Linked DNA regions of Styela clava. The protein of the gene in region 2 interacts with the protein of the main gene of each other region in a pairwise test. Links are inferred from orthologs where the notes say so. Each region holds a gene or a part of one and is shown on either strand. Other genes may lie near its edges. The genes, in order: centrosomal protein of 76 kDa-like and cilium assembly protein DZIP1L-like.

Evidence for each region.
Region 1: the proteins of cilium assembly protein DZIP1L-like (region 2) and centrosomal protein of 76 kDa-like interact in binary tests that used the Homo sapiens proteins (3 or more experiments, as listed by UniProt). The link is inferred for Styela clava from reciprocal best matches to the Homo sapiens genes DZIP1L and CEP76.

Annotation. Positions count from the first base shown.
Region 1 is NC_135252.1:22,881,967-22,890,901, forward strand, and holds the start of centrosomal protein of 76 kDa-like, read left to right. Parts: upstream 1-5,414; 5' UTR 5,415-5,451; coding exon 5,452-5,638; intron 5,639-7,532; coding exon 7,533-8,935. UniProt on the Homo sapiens protein: Centrosomal protein involved in regulation of centriole duplication. Required to limit centriole duplication to once per cell cycle by preventing centriole reduplication.
Region 2 is NC_135256.1:2,771,041-2,779,636, reverse strand, and holds the start of cilium assembly protein DZIP1L-like, read right to left. Parts: upstream 3,265-8,596; 5' UTR 3,133-3,264; coding exon 3,063-3,132; intron 2,301-3,062; coding exon 2,143-2,300; intron 1,383-2,142; coding exon 1,266-1,382; intron 841-1,265; coding exon 646-840; intron 1-645. Other genes in the region: serpin B6-like, read right to left, coding at 6,375-6,583, 6,973-7,090, 7,448-7,592, 8,338-8,468. UniProt on the Homo sapiens protein: Involved in primary cilium formation. Probably acts as a transition zone protein required for localization of PKD1/PC1 and PKD2/PC2 to the ciliary membrane.

The DNA.
Region 1 (8,935 bases), on a different chromosome or scaffold from region 2:
CACCTTGTTTGTTAATAATAGATATATGGAATGTAAGGGTAACAATGGCACTGTCAAAAATATCAATAAATTTAAAGTAAAATGCCAGTATGTCAGGATGCCAGTTTTGCTCATTAAATATTAATCAATCGCGCGCGAACTTGGATTATTGCGACATAACAGAATGTAATACAACATCTTGTTCGTTAATAATAGATATGTGGAATGTAGGGGGAACAATGCCACTGTCAAAAAAGTCAGAAAATTTAAAGTAAAACTTCAGTAAGTCAGGATAACGGTTCTACACGGAACGAAACCTAATAACTACAAACAAATTATAAAATGAGATATCACACCGATCTCCTCAAAAAACTGCTAACAACGACTAGCTTGGGTCTTATCGCAACAAACACTGGGCAGTAAAAATGAAACACTTTGCTGCTTGGTAATCTGATTTATATGGAGTGCCCATAAATTCTTTTTTTTTTTTTTTTTTTGAATTTGCAAATGGAATTTATCGGAACTAAATATTGTTTCGACTCCCATAGATGTATTATACCAAGTAAAAATACTTAAATAATTACTGTATGAAAAAAACCTGGTTAAAATATATTGAGAATTGCTTTCATAACAAAATTGAAACTGTAAAGGGAATGTATGGACACCCATTACCGAATCTCTTACAGTTTTTTTAAGCAAATTTACTGTTTGTTTATAATATTGGACTAACACTCGTAATAACAAGAAATAGGCCAGAGAGGAAATCAAGACGATCTTAAATAAATATGAATATGCGTTGGATAGGGTTTCCTTATGAAACTGAAAAAATAACATGAGATATTTATAGCGCGATGTGTATTTATAGATTAAAAAGGAAGCAGTATTTTTGTGATGAACATTTGCTGCTTTTGCTCGAATCTTATTTTTTCTTTCTCAGTTGTAATGTGATGCATTTTTTGCTAAACCACTAAAGAAAAATTGTGACATCATAATATATGTCTCTCCGAACATCGACCCATTTTTTTACTTCCCTAGCGTTTCAGCTAGATGTCAATGGTGAAGTAAAAACTGAAGTTCGGCCAGTCAATTTTTTCACAGATATAAGGACTTTGGGGGGTGAACATTAGCTTGTTTATCTGACCATTAGGTGATTTAAGTAATACAAGTTGCATTTAAATATGATTTGAACTTTGCTAAATAAAATATATAAATTTGCGCAATGTTTCATACTAATTTTTCATTCTTAATTACAGTAGACATTATTAATTCGGTATTCCGTAAGTTACGTCAGACATTTCGAATGCGTTTGGGTTTCACGCATGCGTAACAATTCACGTGATTATTATCATGGGTTGTTTGTTACTTGAAGTATAAATTGCAGTAATTTTCCACTCAGCTAAGTCCTACGTTAATTAAGAGCGTCTGAATGCGTGACTCGCGCAGACTAATCACGTGATGATAATCATGCGTAACTTCACATGATTATTAACGTACGCTGGGCATTCCAACAAGAATAAAATCACTGGGTTTGTGTTAATTAGGAAGAACCCGACATCAGATTGTGTTTGCTACACAACGCCGAAAATGCCTGAATCCACGTGATTATTCCAGCACAATGACGCTAAAATGTCTGTAATTTTCCAAGCCTTGTCACGCAATAATAAGAACGTTGTTCAAGAATTATTGGCTTTCTAATTTTTCTAGGTCAGTGTTGTGAAATATTACGCTCTTCCATAATACACCTGATTTTGTTGTCATTTTGTGGATATAACCGAATTTGGACATTAAATTAGCAATTATCGGGTTCGGTTCAGTAATGAATCGAAAATTTAGATTTCCAGCGCAATTTGCATTCCCAGCTCTCGCCATAATCCTAGCGGGATAATTATTATTACTTATCGATCTTAATATCGGTAAGTATGCTGATAGGTATTTGTCTGTTTGTTTGTCTGTCTGTTAGATGCAAGCGATATCTCACGAAAGCGAAGTTAAATCTGCTCCAAATTTTGCATTGTATTCATCATAGCTCGGATCAGGAGCCTATTGATTTTGGATGAATTATGTCGTATAATTAGCGAGTTTATAATTAATTAGTGATGGGACACACGGTGTCACTATGGAGTAAGAGCGCTTTTTTGGGGGATCCCCTAACCTCCGATCGATAAGTCTTCGGTCTCCGACCGATATTCTCGTTTTATTATTTTAAGCGTTGGCGAGGGTGTTATTTAGGGGGATTCGTACAAAAGATCCATTTTACCCAACAGTGATACTGGTTTAAACCCGTGTGTATTTTACTAGAGTTTTATTTGTATAGCCTATTTGTACAGCATGTCTGTTGTCCCAATATAACGCAGCAGTCCTAAACTGCTGTTATAATTGTTAGTAGGGGTGCATGTCGCACATCTGTGTCTTAGGCCAGTAAGGTCTTGAACATGTTTCTCGTCTCTGTTTTACTGTTTATTTATTATGCAGATATTGTTACATTTTTCAGGCAAATAAACATACTTACATACATATCAAAGTAAATCTGTCTAGCATCCATTAGAAACTGCACTAAAACATTTTGCAGTATTTCCTACTCGTGCGTAAGACCACGTGATGCTTAATTTTTGGACGTAACTTCCCACGCATACTTAAGTGCACGTGACGTTTTGGCGTAGGAACAGGAAATTCTATACGTCCAATAGTGCATGTGACGTTTTGCTTGAGAACATGAAATTCGATACGGCAGTGCGCGTGATGTCTTACGTACACATTCCACAATTTCAGTCAAGCGGACAGTCATGAGTTTCTGGGCATTTTTACTTATTGACAAATGCTCTCTGCTAGGGCTTAACAAAAACGAGTCAAATTACGTCAGCATTAAGTGGAAATGCATCAAAACGTCTTGGCTCAAAAATTTACAACACACAAGAAAAAAGTTCAAACATGGACACAAATGTACTGAATGGAAAATCTCACCTTTCAGACATAGACAGATAGGATAATTTTTTCGAACTCCTATATGACACAAAACAATTCAATTATAACTTGAACACACAGATAAACATGAATAACACAATCTCTTTCCCCGAAATAGCAAGTATATTAGTTGGCTTCCTTTGGATCATAGTCTAACTTCTTTAGACAAAATAAGATATAACTGCAAATATCAAAGATCATAATCAATCAATTTTATTTGGTCACTCTGATACAAACAACAAACAAAACAACAACAAAGGGCAAACAAAATACAGAAAACCTGGAGGACGGGCAGAACTTAATAATAAAGATAAATACGTACAAGTACGTGCCCGTCCCCCCAAAACAGTCAAAACACAATAAAGCTAAAACACGATGTGACATCGGCAATATCTTATAAATTAAAATATGGGACGTGTATGTGCTTTTCCTACAGATATATGGATTAAAGAACACTCGCTGCCGAAAAATGGTGATGCTGTAGGCCTGATAATTGTCCATATATATTGGTTATTATATTAATTTCGAAAAGGGTAGAATTGTTTTTTTCTACTATGCTCTCCAAATATATTGATGTGCGAGGGTAAACACTCAGTACAGTAAACCGTTCCCAAATCGCAAGAAAGTCCTCCCTGCCACCGTGCTTAGTATGGGTGAGACAGAGTAAGCTGATTTTTCTTATAGCTGCAATTGTAATTTATAACTAACGCATACGGCACAACAATTTTAATAAATCATGATGGCAAGAAAACATGTTTTTTCCCGGGGAATAAACATACAAGAGAGTTCGATAGAAAGAGGTTTTAGTACCGGAAATACGTTGTAACCGCCCGCTTGGCTTTCACTGCTATGTTTTTTTATTATTTTAAACGAATTCGTCTCAACGTACAACGCAGTAGAAAGGGAAAATCTCGAAAAAGATTTCAAACACAAATAATCACACACAAAAAAATCAATATTAATGAAAATATAAAACGACCTACCCTTCAAGATTTCAATTTAAAAAACAAAACTCATTGCTCTCTAACGACATCTCGCGGTCATAATTTTTTGAATTGGATCAATAGAGTCACGCTTCAGTACCTGTAACGCGGTCAATGATCCTTAGCAAATCATTGACCCGTATCGTCAACTGAAAATTCCCGTATTTCAAAAACAAAACAAACCTAGTTCGCCGAGTTTTAACTCGGTTTGCAGCTGAACGGTTGGATTCTACTGTTCATGTTTTAACAGTTACAGAGTTATCGAAGCTTCTTTCTATATAGTCAATAGTGTGATTACATCAGTGGTTATTGCTGTTATCTACCCATAGGCTACGGTATCGTACCGGCACCGTATTACTGCTGTACCGGTACTGGCTTTCGTCTGAACGTACCGGTACGGTTCAAACTATTGCAGTCATTTATCGAAGAAAATTGAGATGTGTAATCTCATTATTATATCAGTGGGTATTTTTGTCACCGGTATATATCCAGACCAACAGACGAGGTTTAATCATTTACCACCGTATTACGGTGCAATAATCTTGTTTTTAAATTGTGTTAAAAGTATTCTGAATCCGGTAATTATACACTTCTTCAACTTTATTTCAAGTTATGCTCGCCTTCTTCAGTTCTAGGTAGACTATCTCTGCATTTTGTTTGCCTGTTTATGTCAGAGAACTGAAATAATATGATTTATTCATTGATAAGTGAACAAGTACGGTACAGACGTACCGTATCAGTATCTCTTTATTTTGGCAAAACATTTCACAATATATCTATATATTCCGTTCTGCCGTCCTGTACATGTTATATTTGTTCCCCTGATTTTATAAACAATTTTTATTCATTGTTATCAATTACTGTATTTTATAATAATAATAAGTTATTTAGATTCCATCCAGTAATCAGCATAACAGACATGAAATACCATACCGTAGTGCAGGGGTCGGCAACCTTTTGTTGCTCGCGGGCCAAAATTAAGGGTTGCAAGTCATTGGCGGGCCGCACATATTTTTAGAAAGTGGAAAATCGAACGATACATCTCTCGAATAGAATATAGCTTTATTTCCTCATTGCATTGCATCTCAAAAAATTCCATTTGAATATTATCGGTGCCATTGAACCCTTTACACTTAGCATCAACTTTTCTGCGTTTTGTTGCCATTTGTCTAAATTATAATTAAATTATAGGCTCATTAAACGAGTAATTGTGAATTATATACTTGTTAGGTAACAATATAATTTAGTCTACACTTGTCTCACAATAAATTCTGGTATGTAAGACTATAATCGTCGAAACAGCTGTTTTGTTACTATAATTCAGTGATGTGCCACAGGCCGGATTATATTAGTAGGTGTGCCAGATTCGGCCCGCGGGCCGTAGGTTGCCGACCCCTGCCGTAGTTGATAAAAACAAATAAATAAAAACTGATCATATCGTATGTTATGCTGGTAAGTAGTCGAAATAAACGTATACTTATATCGAAACAGTGTTTAATCATTTAACTGCGTCATTATATCAGTGAATATGGCGTCAGCTCTTCCACCAGAAAAGCTTGCGGAGTTGAAGCAGATTATCCATAACCAACTTGTACAAGCGAACATACAGACTCAGATTAAAGATGTTTTGGCCGGAAGTTTTAATCAACAACGAGCTGGACATGATCGGACGGAAATATCTGAAGGGGACATAATGGAAGACTTGAAAAGAAAAGGTGATATATTTAAATTTACCATATTTGCTCGTTTTGTAGCCTGGGCCGATATTTTTTTAATCAAACTCAATAACCGAGCTCTTATTCAAACCGGCCCTCATTCAAGCGCGGGCTCTTTGTCATTTTTTAAAGTAAAATTATACACAAAACTTACGGTATCTTTGAAGACAAATATTGGATGACATTAATCCATTGTGACAAAAGCGCTTCTTATTTCCTATTGTTCTCTACCACTGAAAAATCAGCTTTTACATCGGGCGGGTATTCAAGCACCAACCCTTATTTATGTTCTGTTCACACGGGCGGTATTCAAACGAGCATATACGGTAGTTGAAATATGGTTGCCTGGAAAAGTTTGATCAAGATCAAATCAATCAATCAATCAAGATCGGGCGGTAAAACGAGCATATACGGTAGTTGAAATATGGTTGCCTGGAAAAGTTTGACAAAAATACATTTGTTCGTATGTGTACTGCAACACTGGTAAGTGGTAAGTAAGCTACTTGAGGTCTGGGATTAGGATTTTCATATTTATTCTGTGGGTTCATTCTCACGGTGTGAAAAACGCTTTGGTTCTCAACCTTTTATGGCTAGTAGCCCTCTTCCAGAAGCTTTTAGCACTCATGGCCCCCTGTTTATTACTCCACTTTAAGGGCCACATCCACTGACATAGCGATTCATGGGTTACCGCTTACCAGTCTGTGTTGAGTATGGGAGCACTTAACCAGTTATTTGTTCCAGATATGTGGACTTGATTCTTCATCTAGATCCCAAATATAACTGCATCGACAAAAGTATCTGAATATAGTGATGATACTTTCTATATTATTCTACACCATATATGTATGTAACATATTTCCACCGTTGGTGGAAAAACAAATTGCTGATTACAACTAAATATTCCAATTGTATCAGTGCGCAAATATTTCTGATCGTATGATCAGTGTTATGGCCGCTTTGATATTCAATCAATAATCATGATTCACTTTGCAGTTTGCAGTATTGCTAGCATACTCCTCCAGTCATCTCATTGATGCTCGCAGATAGAAATTTTAATTTTCAATTACATATTCAATTTTTTATGATATGATAACAATGAAAGGGAATACATATTCAATTTTTTATGATATGATAACAATGAAAGGGAATGATGAATCTCACAAACAAATTACATTGTACCCGTTATCCATCCTATACATTTTATTTGGTGAACTATTCTAATTGAGATGAACGAGTCTTCAGATATTGTTTGCAACGCAATGCTGAAAATGCTTTACTGCACATGATTATTACAGCGCAATGACGCTTGAATTTTTGTAATTTTCCAAGCCGTGTTACACAGTAAGAAGAGCGTTGCTCAGCAATTATTAGGACTGGGCATTATCGAATATCTGATAATTTCAGAATTGAATCGAATCTTGAATACTTGGAAGATATGTAGTTGTATTGACTGTTTTATTGTAATGTGTCTTCCAGACACATAAATTGGTGAAAACACATAATCTATCACGCAGCTAGTTCGCTGAGTGTCCACACACAATACGGTGCGGCTAATCGTGCTAAGCGTTAGGAATTCGCTCGTCACCGCGCCTCTAATTACTCTGCGTGGGTTTGAATCCCATGCGGGACGTGGTTATGTGCGAGAGGATTGCAGGATTTCTCGTCGCTGTAGGGTGGTTTACGTAACCGCTGGTCGGTTACGGCTTCCGCCACCATCCACCACTAATCCCATACCCGACATGGAATGGCAAACGGACGAAAGGCCCTGGTCCGCCATATGTTTATGCCATGAATATGTAAATCCTATCCTAAGTAACAACATGTTTCATCAATGCCTAGTTAGTTCACCATTGTTGGGAGTTGAAGTTTTAAATTTCTTTTTTCACTTTCTCAGGTGTTGTGGAAGAAATTCTGCAGAGACTTCGTTACGAATCGCCGATCATTGCTGCTCGAACAAAACCATCCATCCATAAAAATCTTGATGAAGAATTAATTCAAGCGGAACTGAAAAACAAAGTCGCTGTTGATCCGACACGGCGTTACATTTTTATCCAAATACTCGGAGGAAAGGCTTTTATTGATCATCTAAATGCCCCGAAATATCCTGGCGTTTCTGGCGACTCGACAAGACCATGTGCAACTTTCACGCTTCATTTGCTATTCCGGGGTCAAAGGTTCAGGTCACGACCTGTGCAAGTTGCCTGCGAACCTGATTTGTCTGAAGGGTTTCTGCTCGAACTTCACACACATTTTGCTGGTGAGGGGGGTAGAATGGCCGACACAGAAACTATGTTATCAATCTGTGATCCGATTCATCTTATCTTAACCCGAACAGACCCTGACGGTACTATTTCTCTAGTTGGAACAGACTCCCTCGAGTGGCGGAAAGTTTTATCTACTCCACAGGGATCCCACAAGGTGTCGATAGAGTTAATGGGTGTTGGAGCGGAGTCTAAAATCCCAGCTGGTATTTTGGAAGCTAAATTAGAAGTTGTGCCACGAGAAAACCGTGTGAGTTTGACAAAAGAAGTCGTAGACGTACAATGTCAACTTGAAAGGCGGCGTTCTGCGGAAAAAGAACGACTTTTTCTAGTTTATGCAAAACAATGGTGGAGAGAATATCTTCAAATTCGAGAGGAACATCAAACACGTACTGTAAAAATTTTCGCACAGGATGAAACTGGTTTAAACCGCCCTGTTTGTAGTTTTGTGAAACCTCTTCGAGCTGGTAGATTGCTTCATACACCTCGACAAGCAGCGAGATTTGTTAGTACTTTAGGATACGAGCGAGCTCCAACTGTGGGTTCCGGAGGTAATGTGGAACAATGGCGATCTTCGCACGCATTTTTCGCTCTCGGAAAAGGCGACCACGAAGACCATTCTAATCTTCTATGCAGTTTATTGCTTGGATTCGGACTTGACGCTTACGTCTGCGTCGGGTCGAAAAACAGGGGTGGAGCATACACCTGGGTTGTGACTCGTTATTCAGAAGGTGCGACTGTAATTTTCTGGGACGCAGTTACAGGTCATCGATACATCCACCGCATGGTGGCGCCAGATGATCCACCAGCAGTAAAGCAACCTGTAACCAATCACCCATACAAGAGTATTGGTTGTATTTACAATCACGAAGCTTTTTACGCAAACTCACAACCGTCTGATATTGTTGAAACATGCAACTTTAATTTAGCGAATTCATCTCAATGGAAGCCAATGAGTTTTGAAGCTGTGAAATCCGTTTGTGCGCAGTCTTCATCTTTCCCACCGGTGGCGCCATTGCTCTCTCCGACCCTTGAC
Region 2 (8,596 bases):
GATGAACTTTAATTTTTTTGTAACATACCTAATCTAAGGAGAGCCCCAGATATTCTTATGAAATTTTGATAGGCTATACACAAAATTAATATTATTAATTCTGATTTCTAGGGAAAAAGACTATTTTATTGTCCTAAGACACAGTTGCGTGACATCATGAGAATAATAGAATCTAATTAAGGTTTGTCAGTATATTTAAAGATCATTTTGCCAGTATATGTCACTTCTATGTATCTATAGTTATTTATAGTTCATACATTTCAGACCATAAAAGACAATCAAACTATTGCACAGGAGTTCCTCCATCCTATGTAAGGTTTCATTGGGTTACGTTCCACCTACAAACAGTGGTTCCCAAAGTTGATTGGGCAAGGGTCAAAATTAGAAGTGAAGGGATATTCGCGGGCCAAAGAGGGGAGAACCCTGTATGCATATTTAATATAACGGTGTAATTGAATTATTACGAATATACACATGCTTAAACTGTGATAATGGCATGACAATTGGTGGTATCTAGAACGCAAAAAGGTAAAACATAAGTTTGACAAGCCGTATTAAATCGTTACGTAAGCAGTAATTGGCCCACGGGCCATGGTATGGGAACCACTGACCTAAAAGGTTGATCTATGCATAGCCGTACTTCACCTTGTAGTAGCTTGAAGCCCCAGATTCAATCAACATTTGTTGTTGTTCAATCATTTTCCGACGCTTTTTATTCTCAGCTTTTAATTTTTGAACATCATCGTTTAATTCTCCTATTTTATCCTGTGCTGAATTCTGCTGTGCTGCTGCAATCTCTAGTTTGTTTTCGAGCTCTGCTATAATTGCTTGAAGTGAACTCTGCCAAAAGCAAAAATATTTCAAATTCTAATATAATATATAGGCTGATTCTCATTTACTAGTTGAGTTGTTTAAAACAGCTTGAAGTCTGAAATTTCTAGTTGTCAAGTTAGAACGTGACAGCTGGCAGGTTTTTAGGAGTCTTGCGGGTCTGTATGACACAGTTTTTTTTTTTACAAAGTGAGGGGATTCGGCCATCAAAGCCCCCTTCACTGGCTATCGCCGGGGTTTCAGTTTGAATTGCCAGAGTTTCAGTTCTATGCCGAAAAGGTGAAACACCTAATGACCTACACACCTAATCCTTGTGAATTAGATTTAAATCACAGAATTTGATGTTCTGAACTAGTAGAGATATTATTAAGTCGAATCAACTTTGAAAACAGTAGTGGAAAAATGATGACATGAAATGAGGGAACATGTCTTACCTGAGAATGTAGCATATACTCGATCATATATTGTGACAGCTTGAACAATTTTGCAAACATTGGGTCAAGGTCAGAAACAACATCAATGTTACAGAATGCCACAGTCTGGATGTGCTCCTAAAATGATGAAAGTGAACAAAATTATAGATGGTGACTATTTACGAAACACCTTCACTCCAAACAAGGTTCTGGACGAGCAAATATTGATACATAATGAGATTGGAAGGACTTGAACTATTGATATTGCCTACCTGATTCCTGAATTAACAAATTCAATTATAATGAAATACATTTCACATGATCTCTGTAGAGCTTGACTAAAAATACATATATAATATTATGTTCGGTGTAGAAAATCACTCAGTTACAGCTATTACTGGACATGAAACAAATATCAATAGGAATAAGATACTAATCCAAAAGATTGATAAAAGTTTTGATTTCCGATTTTCGACTCTAGCTCCAAACTTCAGAGAAAATCTAAATCGTCACTATTCATCACCATTGAATCGACCTCTAAATTCTAAAATTATAATTCTAAATTTGGTACTCCCGTAGTGTATGTACCAGGTTAGTGTTGTGCCATAATTTTATTTCGATTGTCCTTATTTTAGTTCTATTACGATATCGGGGACTGTCTGTGTGAGCCAAGTGAGACCCCCGCCCATAGGTTTCAGTCCCTTTACACAACTTCATGTCAGATAGGCGAACAAAATTAGTTACCTCCATATTGGGGCACACACTTCTGGAGCGCCCAAAATTCCAACTCTAACTAGTTAGAAAACTTCATAGTTGTATTATGAAGTCAAAATAAACTAAATTAGTACAAGCCTTAGAAGTCAGTGTGAACAAATTCTTATTTAAAACCTCTCCTCACCTGTAACGTGTCAATGTCCAACTCTCTTGCAACTTTGTCAACATCAATCATTGCAACTTTTCTCCAGTTAATCTCTCCATGCCGTTTCCTGAACTGAAACACTGGAGCAAATGATTCTGGTGGAACGCCCATCTCTGCTTCATACAAATGTGGTGGAGCTATAATTGAAAATTTCGGATTTGATATATTTAGTTTCAAAGTACGCAATGGCTTTCGTAATGGTATACAGACTTTTCGGGTGTCCTGGAGTACGCTCAACAATTTTTGCATATATCATTCCTAACCCCCACCTGACCACGTCACCGAAAAATTACGTCATTGCGACGTCACAGTGGCGTATTAAGGTTCACCAAAGTATGTGGATAGTCGTCCAAAACGCACAGATGATCAGCCGAAATCGAGCAAGCCATTTCTCTTGTTTTCTCGTCGCAGCGATCACGATATGAGAGAGATATCCGGCATTAGTGAGTTCGTTATCGGCGGCTCAAATGCCATTTCGGGCAATCATAATTATACTTTGGCAAGCTCTATGATGTGATGGTGATGTCATAGTGTTGTAATTTTTGGAAGGCATAGTCAGGTGGGGGTTAGGAATAACATATGCAAAATTCGTTATGCTACGCCCAATGAAAGTACTTGTGGTACTAAACTAAACCCCCACTGACTTTCACCCTTCAGACTTCTGGACTCTGTTTTACATTTGCCTTGGAAGTTGTTTAAAGATAGAAATTTCTAAATGCATGTGGATTTCAGTACCGATACCGTAACAATTAGTGCAGTAGTGCCAAGGGTGTAAGTAAGGTAATATTTACATATTTCCCCAAGGAAGAGGAAAGCCGATAAGACAGCTTAAACCTGTAAACCACGGCCTCTCGTCCGTTTTTTTTCATTCATTGACAGCGTGGGAAAGGTAAACTCACCCATATAATTACTGTTTGGAGATAGATGACTGCTAAACATCTGATACTGAGTTGCCGTTTCTCCAGCCATTACCAGCTATTTTATTTCACTTTTGATGATTGATGATTGATTCATTCTCTAAAAACATCACAAAAACTAACAGAGAGGCTTCGCACAGCAACACATTTGTTTACGTCCTGAAAATCAGTCCCGTTGTGTCGTATTTCAAGCGGTTTGGACTGTGGTTTCGTGGAAAATTTAAACTTATTATTGCGTCAGAATCCTTTTTAAAAAACAATACAATTTGTCAGATATTTTGCATGTTTACGTATAAAAGAAAAAATCTAAATGTCAAATTATCAAAATTAATCAATCAATTCGTGCACCTCGGGAGTATTAAATGAATATTTACGTATTTCACAATTTTTCCCTTAGTTTTGTTTTGCGAACATAAATGATATTACAATTGTGACCAGCCCATTACAGATATAACTTCTGGCATGCTTTGCATGAAGTACCGGTATCTTAACTTTTCGTGGTGTACTCTAACTCAGCTCGTGATTTATGCAATGGCGAAATCAACATTTGTGGATATACCCTATTCTAACTAAAGCGCCGTGGATCAAGGTAAGAATTTCGACCTAAATAAATATTATTTCCTCGTTATGCCAGCTTGTAATCGCGTATTACATGATGCGTGAGAGGATTGCTAGCACCCTCGTTGTCAAAGGAAAGTTCACGTTTTTTTGCTGATCAGTTATCAAAGTCGGCGCATCTGGAACGATAAACTGGTTAACGATTCGAATATCCAACATGACATGGTGATCGGACGATGTAGACAGGAGACCACTGCCTGTTACACGGCTAAGTCAACTTATTTAATTTCTCATTAGCATATACCCATTATGTTTTTTATCTGTCTGTCTGTTTGTAAATGTATCTTCAATATTCACATGGTGATGAATAAATATTACTACTATAAATATGAAAACTTATCCTGTTATAAGACTTATCATACATGGACATATAAACAAATTTATATATAATTTCCAAGTCTTTGCAGCTGGAAGGTTTCACTGGTTAGGTATTTTGCATTTAGAACACGGAGGTGTCAAAATTTGCCAGAAAACCGTGCCAGGCCGTGGTTCCCCATATCAATTAGGCCGTCTTATCGGTTTTCACTCCCCGGGATCAATATGGAATACTATCCTAACTTCTGCGTTACACTTTTCCGCGAGATCAGTATTCTGAACCCTGTACTTCCACGCTAAGTACATCTAAAAGAATAAACGTATCTCTGGCGATAGTAGCGTCTGTGGCTTTACGTAATTGCGTTCCATTGCATATTGGAGTCATTTATAACTAGCTAATCCTTAGTTTGAGCAGGTATATATAGTATATCGATATTGAAAACCCCAGTTTAGATAGCTGACTAGACTGTCTCGTGAGAATATGTGTTATTGTAATATGCTTTGTTTTAGTCTGTAGAACTTAAATTATTAGACGGGTATAATCGCCTTTCCATGACAACCTGCTGGGGCTTCGATGGATACCCCTTCTTTAACAACGGATGTGACGAGTATTTTTGAATAGTATTAACTTTGCGCATCCTTTCTATTACTTTGGACCTGTATCTACGAATTTATTTACATGTTGCCTTTCAGAATATGATTACTTTTGGAATACTCACTATTTAGTAGCGTGCTCAATCACAAACATGACAAAAATTGACACCTCGTAATTGCGTATATCTAATAGCAATAGCATTATAAAATCTCTGTATTACGAGGAAATATTGCCTTACCATTATAGAAACAGTACTCTACTCGAGTACTTGGTATCTCATTAAGCAGAAAAGAACTAATCTTGAACATTGGTCTCCTATTCAATAGGAAGAACACTTTAAAAAATTAGGGTGTTAAACCATTAATATGGAATTTAAGATACTGACGGAAAATACGAAAGCAGAGCCATTTCAAAATATTTTCAAACAGATTTGTAAATCGACTTAGTTTGCTTAGCGTTTTAAGGATTTTTTCAGTTCAAGTTTAAGGTTTTATTGTTAGTAAATCGGATACAATGCGCATTTACAACTGATACGCCAGAGGTTCCAATAAGTCACAGTTTCTTATTCATATCACTCCAATTTATTCGTTTCGTAATATACAATAAAAATACAGTTTTGAACACTGATTATTATAATAAATAAAATAAATTAACATACATTAGCGATCGACGAATAAAGACTACGTGTAAATTTACTCATCATCCGCGGCTTAGATATTCTAGCAGTTAAGTTTTGCTTTTTGTCTGATAATAAATTAACTTAATTTTTCTTAAATGAAATAGCGAAAGAAAGATTTATATTTGCTAACCAGAATAAAACAGTCATAACAAAAACGCATGATTGAAGGTTGATTTCGGTATCTACGGTGCAGTTTCGAACTAGGCGCATATTGATCTATACCGGAACTAAAACGTTCAGGTCTTTCAAAGACTAACATTTATCACAACTCCATCATGACCACGCACGTTCGAATTTAAACATTCAGTTTTTTGTGTGTCTGAGCTGTATGAATTCAGTAGGCGACATGACGTGTAGGTTTTCCAAACGCGCAATTGTTTGAAATCGATATTGCTTAATTAAGCGTGCGTGCTCATTAAGTTAATAAAGCGTGGTTGGTGTCTAGGGCAGGAGTGTGCAACCTTTAGAAGGGCCAGATAGAAATGACTGGGTGAAACCGCGCGCCGCACCTTTTATTTAACATAGGCTTTCTAGTAGTTGCAGGCAAAGTTGTTGCAAAATTTTGTTAATTGATCTTATGACATGCGTTTTTCACTTCGCACGAGTTAGCTGTTAGGGCACTGTAAGGTCATAGGCTTACATATTAAATTAGACAAAGGTATATTCTTCGCCACGCAAAAGAATAGGAATTACCGTGTAAAAGTTTTCGATATGAAATGCGTGGATAATATGATAGAGAATTGTAGGTGCCTTGACGAATCTACTTTCTTGTCTTGTCGACATTCACTAAGTAGAGACATGGCCGCCTTACACTGCCTATCGGACCCTACTGAATTTAGTAGAGCCTTGCGTATTAAGTGGTCTACATCAAGGACGTGCTATCCAGATTGAAGATGTGAAAGACTCTTAAAAGCGAATTTCTTTGTGACATATTGATTATAGTATCGAAGTTAAGCACCCGTGAGAGTGACATGGGAATCGCGATAAACTTCATATTTGTTTACATATTTGTAATTAGAATGGCATCATTTTTTCCCCATTTTCTTCCCGTCAATTAGAAAGATCTTTTGATGAAAAACAGTATTATTCAGAGTACATTGTTAGATTTCGTTGGGTCAATGATTCTTCCTGCAAATAACTGTGCTCTTGTGCTGGTGTCTTCAACAAAAAATAGGAACGATCGGTCGATTTTGAAATATGCAAGATCTGATGCCTTACGTAGAATTGCGATAGAAGCCGAAGACGCGGCAGCTTTCGTTCCTTTTTCGTCAACGACTACAGCAGCTTTGTGGATAACTGTAAATAAATATTGTAAATTGTATTGTTGGAAATCAGTTTCAATGTAATTGAAATTTTAATATAATATTCAGAACGAAAACAGCATTTATGCCGAGAAAAGTTGTGGACAACGCTTATTCACGACTTTCGCAATGCGCTGTAAAAGCAGACATTGAAATTTCACGATATGTGATCCATCCGGTCCAACTTTTCCTACCCAATTTATTACATCATGGGTTAGGTGAGGAAGGCATGGCTGAAACCGAGATGTGTAATCTGCGATGCCAAGTCAGTTAAGTAAAACACTTTCACCGCTATATCCCCGCGCCGATCAATTTTTTGAAGTCCGCCAATATCTTCACGTCGCCTCTTCCACATCTAAAGAATATTCGCAATAAAAAACTTACATTTTGAGAAAGAAAGTCTGTCCTCGCTCAAGTTTTCAAAGTTTGCTCTACTCCACTGGAACGCAGCTGTTATTCCAAGACGCCGCAAGGATAATTCGAGATCAGATTGAAAATTCATCTGAAATGAACCCAAAATATCATTGTTTGAAACCTGCCACGTCTGTCAAGGCTTTTTTGGATATATTTGTGTATCATACCATCCTAACTCAAAAAAGATTTAGTGATCAAATCAAGTCACCAATCAGGCTTCTGGGACAATTACGAGATGTTCTGAACAATTCTCGATGTAAATCGGCTTTGTTATCAAGAGTTGTGTTAAATTCAGTTGGGTCTTTATTACTACCCAATTGTAACTCATCTATCAATATCCAGTCATTTTACCAATTCACATCTTATGAATCGGTCGAACAATTAAAAGGAGCGATTGTGAAAATATTTCACAATAAAATTTCCAAGTATAGTAGCAGTATTTTACCTGGAATTTCGGCAGACAAAGTTCAATCAGTCCGCTGACAACACCTCGTCTCCAGCTGTCATACTCGTTCTCCAAGTTTTCTTCTATGTCTTTGAAACTGAAGTCATCGTTCGGTACCAGAATGATCATAACATATTTTCCATTCCTGTAATTTAAATATTATACTTCTAATATACAAAACTAAAGTACCCAAGTATTGCTAGGATATTCAGCACCAATAACAATCGCTAGCAATCACGTTTGTACACTTTTTTATTATAAGGTTTCACACCGACACTGCTATTGATACGAGCTAATATGTGTGGCAGGACCGGCTATACATTGCCCACTAATATTTATTAGACCGTAGGAGAGTGGATGGAATACATATCTTACGTATACGACTTCAACGTGGTGAGGTCCAGCCACCCTCACACTCGAAAATATTGAATTTCCAATATTAGATGATCTAGTACAGGGTTTATCAAACTCAATATTAATAGGTACCCTTCAGACAATTCATAGATCTTGTGTAACCCCAAAATGCCGTACGTATTGTGATGAAAAGCGTCATGTGAACTGTAAATGTTAATTCGATAGTTACTGTAGTTGTAGTCAAAGCCTTTACTGGGGTGAAAATGTGACTTCCTAAGGAGTTGTGGAACTAAGGTCTTCAAATATGAACATCACGTTGTAATATTTAAAGGCAGATTAGAAGTTATAGGAGAATATTTCTATACTTAATATGATGCACCCCTTGAAAAGTTGAAATGTACGCCAGGGGGTACATTTACCCCAGTCTGGGAACCCCTAATCCAGTATATCAAATGTCTCGAAAACAACAAAAGCTGTTCTACACTTCGCCAAATTTTGACGAATGTCTGGCTAACGGTATAACACATAAAACTTACGCGTATGGAATTTCTATGACATTTGGTTGTTCAGCTCTTGTGCAAATCTGTCCGAATGCAGACAAGTCTCCCGATGAACTCTGACATTTCTTCATATAACGAAGTCGAACTTCTTGGTGCATGGTGGGAACCTGTTTTATGATATGAGTAATTTTATTTATGAAAACTGGGTTTTCACTCTAAGTTTTTTTCTTGTGATCTATGACGAATTTGAAACAACTTTTGTATGCTTAATTTACTCACACAAATCAAACCCCGA